3 linked regions of the Neurospora crassa OR74A genome follow. The protein of the gene in region 1 binds, or shares a complex with, the protein of each later gene. Links are inferred from orthologs where the notes say so. Each region holds a gene or a part of one and is shown in the gene's direction. Other genes may lie near its edges.

The links.
Region 2: NCU11251 (region 1) and NCU04606 share a complex: the UniProt entries of both Saccharomyces cerevisiae proteins name them as parts of the U4/U6-U5 tri-snRNP complex. The link is inferred for Neurospora crassa OR74A from reciprocal best matches to the Saccharomyces cerevisiae genes PRP4 and PRP6.
Region 3: NCU11251 (region 1) and NCU09880 share a complex: the UniProt entries of both Saccharomyces cerevisiae proteins name them as parts of the U4/U6-U5 tri-snRNP complex. The link is inferred for Neurospora crassa OR74A from reciprocal best matches to the Saccharomyces cerevisiae genes PRP4 and SMX2.

Annotation. Positions count from the first base shown.
Region 1 is NC_026501.1:4,871,947-4,875,694, reverse strand, and holds NCU11251 (pre-mRNA splicing factor), read left to right. Parts: upstream 1-1,210; 5' UTR 1,211-1,367; coding exon 1,368-1,412; intron 1,413-1,476; exon of another isoform or gene 1,477-1,500; coding exon 1,501-1,534; intron 1,535-1,589; coding exon 1,590-3,091; 3' UTR 3,092-3,287; downstream 3,288-3,748. UniProt on the Saccharomyces cerevisiae protein: Involved in RNA splicing. Is required for the association of U4/U6 snRNP with U5 snRNP in an early step of spliceosome assembly.
Region 2 is NC_026505.1:1,528,152-1,531,899, forward strand, and holds the start of NCU04606 (pre-mRNA splicing factor), read left to right. Parts: upstream 1-1,115; 5' UTR 1,116-1,208; coding exon 1,209-1,543; intron 1,544-1,655; exon of another isoform or gene 1,656-1,695; coding exon 1,696-3,748. UniProt on the Saccharomyces cerevisiae protein: Participates in pre-mRNA splicing. Part of the U4/U5/U6 tri-snRNP complex, one of the building blocks of the spliceosome.
Region 3 is NC_026501.1:6,357,899-6,361,646, reverse strand, and holds NCU09880 (small nuclear ribonucleoprotein SmG), read left to right. Parts: upstream 1-1,381; 5' UTR 1,382-1,495; coding exon 1,496-1,525; intron 1,526-1,666; coding exon 1,667-1,738; intron 1,739-1,797; coding exon 1,798-1,872; intron 1,873-1,931; coding exon 1,932-2,012; 3' UTR 2,013-2,330; coding exon of another isoform or gene 2,331-2,524; 3' UTR 2,525-2,642; coding exon of another isoform or gene 2,643-2,967; 3' UTR 2,968-3,271; downstream 3,272-3,748. Other genes in the region: NCU09879 (hypothetical protein), read right to left, coding at 1-850, 950-1,052; NCU10125 (hypothetical protein), read right to left, coding at 2,331-2,524, 2,643-2,967. UniProt on the Saccharomyces cerevisiae protein: Plays a role in pre-mRNA splicing as a core component of the spliceosomal U1, U2, U4 and U5 small nuclear ribonucleoproteins (snRNPs), the building blocks of the spliceosome.

The DNA of each region.
Region 1 (3,748 bases):
GCATCTGGTACTTGAAGAAGGAAGTGGAATTGTCGTCGACGGTCTTCTCGATATGCATTGAGGGTGGAAAGGCTCGATGAGATGTGGTTTTTACTGTCAAGAAGGAGAGAGAGAAAGAGAAAAAAAACAGAAAAGAGAAAAAAGAAGAGAGTTGTGACTGGGGGAGCGTGCGAAGAGAGAGGTCGACAATGGCAACAATGAAATGGAGTTCCGTGGGCAGCAGAAGTTAAAATAAAATGGAGCCCGGACTCTGCACCTGCAGTGAATTAGGATGGGCCTGGACCGGGTTTGTGACCTTGGGTATTACCTATGCACAATTTAGTACCCCTAGGGACTGGAATGCACTAGCCGGGCAGGGGGCCGCGTCCGCCTCACCCAAATATCCCGCCATTGAGCCAACCACGATAAAGAGAAAAGCGTTCACATCATGCGTCACGGTCTGGGCAGGCCGGGCAGGCCGGGCAGGCGAGCAACTGAAAGGGCGGAAAGACCAGCTGGATTGGTCTGGTGAACTTAAAGGAAAAGGAGGAATTGGCGGGCGTTCCATGTCCCAGGAGGAATTGGCGAGAGCACGTGAAAATCGGGTGAGAGACATCAGACATACGTCTCACCCGCATTAAAGGGAATGCACCATCGGCCATTTTCCAGGCTTTTTCCACACTAGCTTTCAACCTGAAAAAAGCCCCATGTTGCTCTCCATGTCCAGAAATGAACCTCCAATACCACACGGCAGGTGTCATGTGTGTATAGGTAGTGTAGTGTACCAAGGCCGCTGGATGCCGACCCCGATCTTCAGTTTTGACAAGTCTGGGGAATCCGAACAGCCGGGGCTCGATTGGCGGTCATTAAACCGCATTGATCGACGGGCTGGGAAGGGGGAACTGGCCGCACCGTTTGTGATCGCGCTTCCATGTCACCTCGGACCAAACCTACCGTGTGCGAAGTGGGTATTAACGAATGTTGACACCAACAAGGAATCTATCACATATCACATGAAACTTTGAAATTTCAAGTACCTCTTTGAATGATCGGTGAAAGCTTCATGGCGATTCGTTGGTTCACCTTAAGACGAGGTGCCCGTGGTGCTAGGACCGAGATGAGCGCATTCAGGTGGGACAGCTTGTTGAGGGTTAGGGTCGAAGATGCGCCGGAAATTTTAGTGGAGCTCCCGCAACAGCAACGGCGCCAGCATTGTAAACTTCCCTGTGATTGCATCACCTGCTATTTCACGACAGCAAGCAAAACATCGAGCCCTCACATCAAACGGTCCTTTAGCAACCACAAGCCGGACTCGAATCACCTGGCTTTACTCGCGTTCAAGTGTCCAGAAGATTTAGCAAACGAACAAACACCGAAAGTTTAGCACTATGCATCCGGCGCGTAGAGCCTACGTGGAGGAGGCCGAGCCTGAGGTAAGACCATGCTCTATATGCGCCCCTCGCATCATTGAAGGCACCTGCTCAACATTGCAAACAGAGCCCGGACTGACCCCCCCTGAAGCAGGATCGCGGAGGCATGGATCTAGACTCCGTCCGTAAGTCCCCAAAACTCTTGTATGGCTTCCAACCCATGACTGATTTGCGTGTTAGCCCTCGATCGCGACTACGACATCCCCGGTGCTGGGGCTGGTATTGCCCCAGAGAAGGCCTCCGTTCTTCTATCGCAGTTTGAACGAAAACGATTAGCGGCTTCGATTGCTGTTCCTACCGACGATGGCCGGGTACGAGCCAAATTGCGAGAGATGGGCGAGCCTGTCACCCTCTTCGGCGAGGGTCCGGCAGACAGACGCGACAGATTACGAGAACTCATGACACAACAAGCCGAAAAGGGAGGTCAGGAAAGTGCCGATGTGGAGATGCGGGACGCCGAAAACGAGGAAGATGAAGCCGGCGACCAAGAGGAGGAATTTTACACTACTGGAAGCCCGGAACTGCTCCAGGCCCGCATCGACATCGCTCACTACTCAATCCCGAGAGCTAAGAAGCGCATCGAGTTCCAGAAGAAGGAGTCCACCATCCCACTGCGGACACATGTCAAACACCGAAAAGAGATCAAGGAGAAGCTTCAAGGGTTTGAATTGCAAGGCAGTCAAACGGCAGGAGAGCGGCACATCAGCATGACAAGGATCTCGCCTGATGGAAACATGGTCGCAACTGGCAATTGGGGCGGACAGGTCAAACTCATCGAAATCCCAACCCTTGAGCCAAGGAAGACTTTGAGGGGCCACACCAACAAAGTCAGCGGCCTATGCTGGATGCCTGGAGCTACACTGCCGGAGCGCAATGTTTCTCCCGACACAGTCAATCTCGCTTCCGGAGGAGCGGAAGGCCAGATTCATCTCTGGTCTTTGAACCAAGACACGCCTTTGAGAACTCTCTCAGGACACTCGCAACGAGTATGTCGTGTAGAGTTCCATCCATCGGGCAAGTATCTGGCTTCTGCCTCAGAAGACACGTCATGGAGGATGTGGGATGTTGAAACCGGCACCGAGCTCCTTCTCCAGGAAGGTCACTCTCGCGGTGTATACGCTGTCAGTTATAACAGTGACGGATCGCTACTCGCTAGCGCGGGTTTGGACAGTATCGGAAGAATCTGGGATCTGCGGACAGGACGGACTGCCATGATTCTAGATGGGCATCAGGACGGCCATATCAAGCCTATTTATGGTTTGGACTGGGGCTCGGACGGTTACAGGGTGCTCACGGCGTCTGCTGATGGTTGGATCAAATGCTGGGACGTTAGAAAAGTGGAAAGAATTGGAGGCATTGGTGCCCATACAAGTGCAGTGGCCGACGTGCGGTGGTTCAAGGGGTTGGATGACCCGTTGGAAGGAGTGCCTCCTGGCGAAGATGAAAAGGGAATGCAAATTCCCAAAAAATCCGGCACCTTTATGGTGTCGGCAGGCTTTGACCACAAGGTGAACATATTTTCCGCTGACGACTGGGCCTTGGTTCAGTCTCTCAGCGGCCACACAGGGCCTGTTGCGAGTGTTGACGTTAGCCGGGATGGAAAATGGATTGTAAGCGGTGGCCATGACCGGACGGTCAAACTTTGGGGAAGAAACGACTCCAGGAGCTTGTATGATTCCTGAGCAGACATCAATCATGTGCGCGACAAGAATCTTGTCGTTGCCTCTCGCATAGGAGCAACACACCAAGGAGGGCGTTCAGCAAGCGACAGGCCAGGGCTTGGCTTACCGCTCCACGAGAGACAGTATCGGCAGATAGATTGCATAGAAGCCGTCTCAATTTGTAGATCAACAACCACAACTGGGTGCCCATAACAAGCTGCCTTTGGTACATGCGTCTGAGTTGCCTTGTGGTTGCGTTTCACTGACCCGGTAAGGATAAGGGGTGTCACCTGACCGCGAAAGTGGGCCTGTTGAGATTCCTTCTCCCTTCTTTTCTGCAGTGACGCGGGCAGGGTTGGGCGGGACACCTGCCGCTCGCGTTGGTTGGCGTTGGTAAAGTCACCCTGGCACCCTGGGAAATGGTGACGCACGGTCCATCGTGCGAAGCTTGGCTTTCTGATAAAGGGCGATAAAACAATGGCAGCAGACGCCATCACCGGGAACTTGTAGCGTTGGTCCGTTTTCGAACCTTTGACTTCTTCGTTTCTCGCATTTCTGCATTTTCAAGTGGTTTTATCCCCAGCCGGTATTTATCGCGAGAGACGTCATTCACAATACCCTCAACTCACAGCATCCGGGCAGCTCAAGTCCCCATGCGCATCAACCCGCTCAAAGCTG
Region 2 (3,748 bases), on another chromosome or scaffold:
CAGGGAAAACGTCTGAAGCCGCCTGGTTTCCAAGAGATCTTACCTGCGGAGTCATTTGATGAGTGTTTGATATGAGAAGACATCGGGTTTTTGATCAGCGGCTCCATGACTATCACATCAAGCTCTCCTGTGATGGACGAGCAAGAAGGTCTGGACCGAATATGTGAGTGGTAGTAAAGGGTGAAGAAGCGAGCTAGATGCCCATACTTATGAGATTTAGTCAACAGGAGGGTCTCGAAATTGCACATTGGTGGTTCGAGTGGGCGGCGCTGGAGTAGCTTTCCTTCAGTCGCCATGAGTGCTTTGAGACAGTGTATGCAGATTGGAAGCACCTTGTGTACAGACGTTCAAGTTGTGCGAACTCGGATCCCGCTGTATACTCAATCAGGGACGTGGTACTGAATAAATATACCTAGGTAGACGGCCGGCAAGGAGCTAAACCCAGCCTAAATTCATTGCAGAATAAAAAGGCATAGGCTCAGTCATCGTGTGCCGTTGTACAGCATGTTTATTGTAAACAGGAAAACCTGTGTTACGAAGTCTCGGTGAGGGAGTATATTCGCCTTGCATGGTGCCGCCTTTGCGGTTAACCTGACCGTGAAGGTTGAATGGTGCGAGGCATAAATGCTGTAGTTGCCGCACCTGCACAGAAAGAATTTAAATGGGAGGTTGAAGTTGGACATTGTTGGCTAGGCTGATCGCAGGCATTGCCATAGATGAATAATGCATTTCCCTTAGTGATGCTGCAACACGAAGAGCAGACGAGCATCTGGGTGAAGTTGTCCCACTTCACGCCTCACTGAGCCAGGCCATTTCAGTTGCCGACGGCAGGAGCGCTGAAATATCGTCATAGTTGTCTTCTATGGCCATCATGGCTCCGCTGACTGGTGATGGTGAAGACGGGAAAGGAGGTAGATGAATGATAGGAGGAAGTAAACAACGAAAGTGGAATTAAGCCGCCAAGCACTGGTGGAGTCGTAGACTGTTTACTTGGCACTGTGCCTGCCATTCGTTCGTCAAATGCCAAGAGCGCCTGGACCAGTGGCAGGCAGGCTTCAGTGCCCTGGAGTTCGACTTCCACTTCGACTTGCAGCCTGCCGGTATTTTGCCGCTAACTCAAATGTTTGGAGCTACCTCTACGGCCACCACGGTCACAATCCTAGCCACCGCGTCTCTACAATACATCACGAATACAGAAAACCGCCACCATGTCTAGACGGGATTTCCTCAGTCAACCCGCACCCGAGAACTACGTCGCCGGTCTCGGTCGTGGTGCCACGGGTTTCACTACACGATCCGATCTTGGTCCCGCGCGCGAGGGTCCTAGTGAAGACCAGATCAAGGCGGCCGTCGCGAAGAGATCTGCACAGCTAGGTCTGACCGAGGCCAAGGACGACGACAATGAAGACGATGGCCGCTATCAGGATCCCGACAACGAAGTCGGCTTGTTCGCCGGCGGCATATACGAGAAGGACGACGAGGAGGCAGATCGGATATGGAAAGAGGTAGACGACAGGATGGCGAAGCGGCGACAGAAGCAAAGGTTAGTCATTACCTCGTATACATCACTTGACATCCTACATAAATTCACAAAACACCCTTCTACCCCTTCCCCAACACTTTCAAGCAAGCATGTGGTTTATCGGTCAAGATAGATGAAAAGCAGAGTACCGACAAGAAATCGCATTTTCACAGGGAAGCACGAGAAGAAGCCGAACGATTAGAGTACGAACGAAAGAACCCCAAAATCCAACAGCAATTCGCCGGCCTCAAACGAGCGCTCGAGACGGTCACCGACGAAGAATGGGCAAACCTACCAGATCCCAAGGACCTTACCGGCAGGACCAAGAGGGCACGCCAGGCTCGCATGGAGCGCTTCTACGCCGTTCCCGACAGTGTCCTCGCTGCCGCGCGAGATTCCGGCCAGTTCGGTACCACCGTTGCAGAAGACGGCACCGCCACCGAAGGGGTCAACAAGGATGGCACAGTTACAGATTTCGCAAAGATCGGTGCGGCTCGCGACAAGGTGCTGAGGGCGCGCTTGGAACAGCAATCACAGTCGAGTAGCGTGGCCACGGCGGGAAGCGCGACGAGTATCGACCCCAAGGGCTACCTGACATCGCTGTCGAGCATGCAGGGTGCGGAACAAAGCATTGGAGACATTGAGCAGTTCAGGAAGATGCTCAAGTCGGCTGTCGACTCGAACCCCAAACAGGCAGCCAGTTGGATTGCTGCAGCGAGATTGGAAATCGCGGCGGGAAAGCCTGGTGCTGCCCGCAGCTTGATTGCCAAGGGCTGCGAACACTGCCCGAAGAGCGAGGATATTTGGCTGGAAAACATTCATTTGAACGACAACCGGAACGCCAAGGTCATTGCGGCACAGGCTATTCAAGCCAACCCACACTCGGTCAAGCTTTGGGTGGAAGCGATGAAGCTGGAAAACGACCCTAGATCAAAGAAGAAGGTTATCCGGAGAGCTCTCGATCATAACCAAGAGTCCGAGGCGCTATGGAAGGAGGCTGTCAACCTCGAGGAGGACGTCGAAGACGCCCGCATTCTACTAGCCAAGGCGACGGAGCTTATCCCGGAGTCGCTCGACCTCTGGTTGGCACTGGCCCGTCTCGAGACTCCCGAAAACGCCCGCAAGGTTCTCAACAAGGCCGTCAAGAAGCTTCCCAACTCGCACGAACTCTGGATCGCCGCCGCTCGCCTGGAAGAACAACTAGGCGAAGGCAAGAAGCGGCCCGTGATGAAGAACGCCGTCAAGTTCCTCGCCAAGCAGAACGCCATGCCCAAGCGCGAGGAATGGATCGCCGAAGCAGAAAAGTGCGAAGAGGAAGGCGCCGTCATCACTTGCAGCAACATCATCGAAGAGACGCTTGGCTGGGGTCTCGACGAGGACGATGACCGCAAGGAGCTCTGGATGGAAGACGCGCGCGCCTCCATCAACCGGGACAAGTTCGCCACAGCGCGCGCCATCTACGCCTACGCCATCCGCGTCTTCCCCAACAGCAAATCGCTCTACACGGCCGCCATCGACCTGGAGCGCAACCACGGCAGCAAGGAAGACCTCTGGCACGCGCTCGAAAAGGCCGTCGAGGCCTGTCCGCACTACGAAGTCTTCTGGCTCATGCTCGCGCGCGAGAAAGCCGCCGAGGCGGGCGTCGACGAGGCACGCCTCGTCCTTGCCCGCGCCTTCAAGCAGAACCCGGACAGCGAGGACATCTGGCTGGCGGCCGTCAAGCTCGAAGCCGACAACGGTTTCATCGACAAAGCCCGCGAACTCCTCAAGACCGCGCGCCAGAATGCGCCCACCGATCGCGTGTGGATGCGCTCCGTGGCGTTTGAGCGTCAACAAGGCGTCAACGAGGCCGCTTTGGATCTCGTCCAACAGGCCCTACAGCTCTTCCCTTCCAAGCCCAAACTCTGGATGATGAAGGGCCAAATCTACGAAGACCTCGGCCAACTTGGTCCTGCGCGGGAAGCCTACAGCACCGGCGTGCGCGCCGTCCCTTCGTCCATCCCGCTCTGGCTTCTGTACTCTCGTTTAGAAGAAAAGGCCAACAATGTCGTCAAGGCGCGCTCGGTCCTCGACCGCGCCCGACAAGCCGTGCCCAAGTCCCCGGAGCTATGGACGGAACTCATCCGCGTCGAGCGGCGCGCGGGCAACTTGAACCAGGCCAAGTCGCTCATGGCGCAAGCGTTACAGCAGATGCCCAAATCGGGCTTGCTGTGGGCGGAAAGGATC
Region 3 (3,748 bases), about 1.5 Mb from region 1:
TTCTTGGCCTTTTTGTTGAGACTCAACGTGATGCGTTTTCGGTCGTCGTTGTCGGAGTGGTCACTATCGTCGAGTGCGATGAAATCGTGTTCCTTGGCAAGGCGCGCGCGCCGCTCTTTGCGCTCGCGGATCTCGGCTTCGGTGAGGACATGGGCTGCTGGGGCATCGCCAGTGAGCGCTAGGGGCATGTCGCGGGATTGAACAATCATGGCGCCGTCAAGCTCAGAGGGGTCGAGGTCCATGGCGTCGCCCGTTGTCCCGGGCGCGGCAGATGCCTCCGGCAACGGTGCGCTGTGGGTTTTGAGGCTGTCGTCGTCATCGTCGTCGATGATGCTTAGCGAGGCGAGATTCTGTGGTGTGGCTGGCGTGGAGCTTTGGAGTTCTTCAAGGTATTCTTTGCTGTACCGAGGCTTCTCTTCGTCGGCGCCAAATGTGCCGAATCGTGCGGTCAGGGCGGACTTGCGAAGCGCGTTCTTCTCGGCAACTCGTTGGCTCAGCGACTTTTTGCTTGGGGCGCTGACCACGTCGCTGCTGGCAGTTGTTGTCGTATCATTGCCGCCATCTTCCGTGTCGCCCTCGCTGGCTCCGAATGATAGTTTTGAGATGCGCTTCTTCTTGCTGGAGACTGAGCGGCCGAAACCGGGCCGTACTACGAGCGGCACACCAGTGTCCTCCTCGGCTTCTGTTACCTCGGGTGCCGTACTTGTGCTGGTTGACGTAGGTTGGATTGCGTCGCCGCTGGTTTCTTGTGGATTATCGTTACCGTCGTTGATCTTGATCGTTCTTCGTAGTGACGAAGATTTAGTAGGCTTGCTGCGCCCAAACTTGGTCGGTCCTTGCGGTACTGGTTCTGTTCGAAGGCGTATCAGCTTGCTTGTTCTTTGGTTTGGTATCAGCACTGAGATTTTCTATGCTGGAAAGGGATGGGCATGGCCATATAGCAACTTACGTTCGTTCTTCGGCTCCTCTCCTCCAAGCACCGTAGGAAGGTCGCCATCCTCATCGTCAAAGGTCTGGATAATGCGTGGCTTGCGCTTTCCAAAAGAGCTCATTTTTGTGATGATCGACTTGAGTAAAGTGTAGAATGGAAGTAGGTTGTCTGACAGGGAGTTTGTAATACAGTGATGTAGTATTGAGGCGGGCGTGTTGTTTACAGGTAAGTTTGTAGTGCAAAAAGGTGTCCAGACAGCTAGGAAGCTTCGAAATGCACCCTGGAGAATGACGCTGGTGGGCGACTGGATGTCACCACTGCACTGAACACTGCAATCACCCAAAGACGGGCAACGCGAATTGCGGTTTCTTATCTTATCAGTGTCCCCACGTGATGGCCTGGCGGCCGAAAATCACTGGGGATGGTCGCGATTGCACGCGCTGCACAAGGCCCGCCTTCCAGGTTGTTTCAGTGGAGAGTTCCCAGCCAGAACGACGCCATTGCCATTCATTGCAGCAACTCTCTCGAGACCATCCCAGACAACCAACACAACCTCAAGATACAATGGCGCCCGCACAACCTGAACTGAAGAAGGTAAGAACTTACTCTTGGAGAATTGCCTTTCACGCTGAATGGCAGCTGGCTGGTCGAGACTATGCCATTGTCGCATCTCGAACTCCATGTTATTGTTTGTTTAGTATGGTGTAGTGAGCTAACCGACCACTTTCCAACCAGTACCTCGACAAGAGGCTCTTCGTCCAACTCAACGGCAGCCGCAAGGTCATTGGTGTTCTCCGTGGCTACGATGTACGAGATCTCCCCTTTACGAATTCGAACATGATGATTGACGGTTCGCGACGTCATAGGTCTTCTTGAACATTGTTTTGGACGATGCTGTTGAGGAGAAGGATGGTGGTGAGAAGGTCAAGCTTGGCATGGTGGTATGTTTATCATTGTAGAAAGGTGCTGACGTGTCTCCTGCTGACGAATGTGCACACAGACCATTCGTGGTAACTCCGTTGTGATGATGGAGGCTCTCGAGAGAATCGGCGGCGATGAGAGGGGAGGACAGCGCGGCTAATCAACAATCATCTTCTCGCAACACGATAAAACGACCCTGCGCATCTACAAACGCCTACATCAAAAGGCGAGGCATCGGAATAAGCGGATGGCAATTGACGGGATTTGACTATATACCAAGGCGATTTACACTTTACGACGACATCTACAGTGTTCCACGCGGTCTTGGACGGTGAAAAGCTAGGTGGGTTGGCTGGTACGGCGTTCAGTTTCACACGAGGCATGTATTCGGGAAAGCTGCATTATCTTCAACTTAGAAAGGGAAACATCTGCGGCGGTGGTCGAAGAAAAGATACCCAAAGGATTTTTTTGTTTTTCATCACGTACAGCTCTTCTCCGACAACAGCTGCTTCCACGTCTTCTCGTCATAACCGTCCACCATGCGGTCGCCGTACATCCGCACCCAGCCTCGAATCCCGCCCGTCATGACCTGCGACTGAAGATCGCCGCCTACTTCGTTGATATAGTCTTGCATCCAGGCGGCACATCGAGGGCCCCGACCAGCGGAGGAGCCTGGGGGAAGAAGCATCGGTGTTAGAGAGGGTCGGCGGTAGAGGTACGAGTTCAAAAGAGCATAGGATTGATTGGACTCTGTCCCAAGAGTCAATGACAGAGAAAGTCAAACACGTACCACAATAGAAGACCACCTTTTGGATCCCGGCCTGTTTGCACAAAGCGTACAAGCTCTTGCGCGTGGGGAAGAAGCTGTGGGCGGGCAGGTTGATTGATGAGCTGACAGTTCCCCCGGCGCAGTCTGTCCGGCGACAATCGACAAGCAGCAATCTGCGCGATTGGGGCATGTCATCGACATGTTCTTGCTGCTCAAGAAGCTCGAGGACAGTCTGGGGCTCGATATGGACCGGCGTCGAAGTTGGCTCTGGAAATGCTGCCCACCACGGTGTACCATCCTCGCGCCTAGCCATGCGCAAGCAGTGTTCGTGAACGTGTATCGTCATGTTGAGGCCGTTGCTGAGTTGGTTTCTCATTGACTGATTTCTTAGGTTAAGCGGAAGAAATGTACCGTTGATGCATTGTCCGGTATATGAAGGGCAGTCAGGGGTAAACTCTTTGTTTGCCACACTGGATTGGGGCGGCTCTGAGATCTAGTCACATCTTTCAGCAAGCCACGCCGCCAATACTCATCTCGCGGGACATGTCCTCGGCAGTCACGTCCTATCATAAATCACTTGTCTCGTACGATCGGATCCTCTGATGCCGTAGATGGGATACCGCATCCGGAGGTAGTCCTTCCTATCCTATTACTCCATGGAGTTTTTCAGGAGATCGCGGCTAAGGGGGGACGACAAGATGATTTCTTCACCAGCTCATCAACGCGACATACTGCCTGGTCTCGTCGCTTCTATGCAATTTAGTAACCATGAGCATGTTATTTTTCTTATTACCCATATTCATGCCCCTCGCCATTTACCCGTAGATAACTGATAGCTCCGACATCTTGGTTTACTCGGCCCGGCATATAGGGGGATATCACATAACGAATTGTTGAGGTGTGTAAGTTGCAGCACCAGGACACCTGCGACAAAGCGCACCAATCAATATACATGTCGTTGTATGGAAGATTGATAAAAGGTTAAACCACGGCGTTTATAAGGTATACAGTAGCAAGACGCTCCCTCCAACAGCCCAGCGACACCTGAGAGCTATTCTGATTTATACGTCACGGCGTAACTTCCACCAAAGAATGCCCACATCTCCCAAATCAGTCTGTGCTCGCTT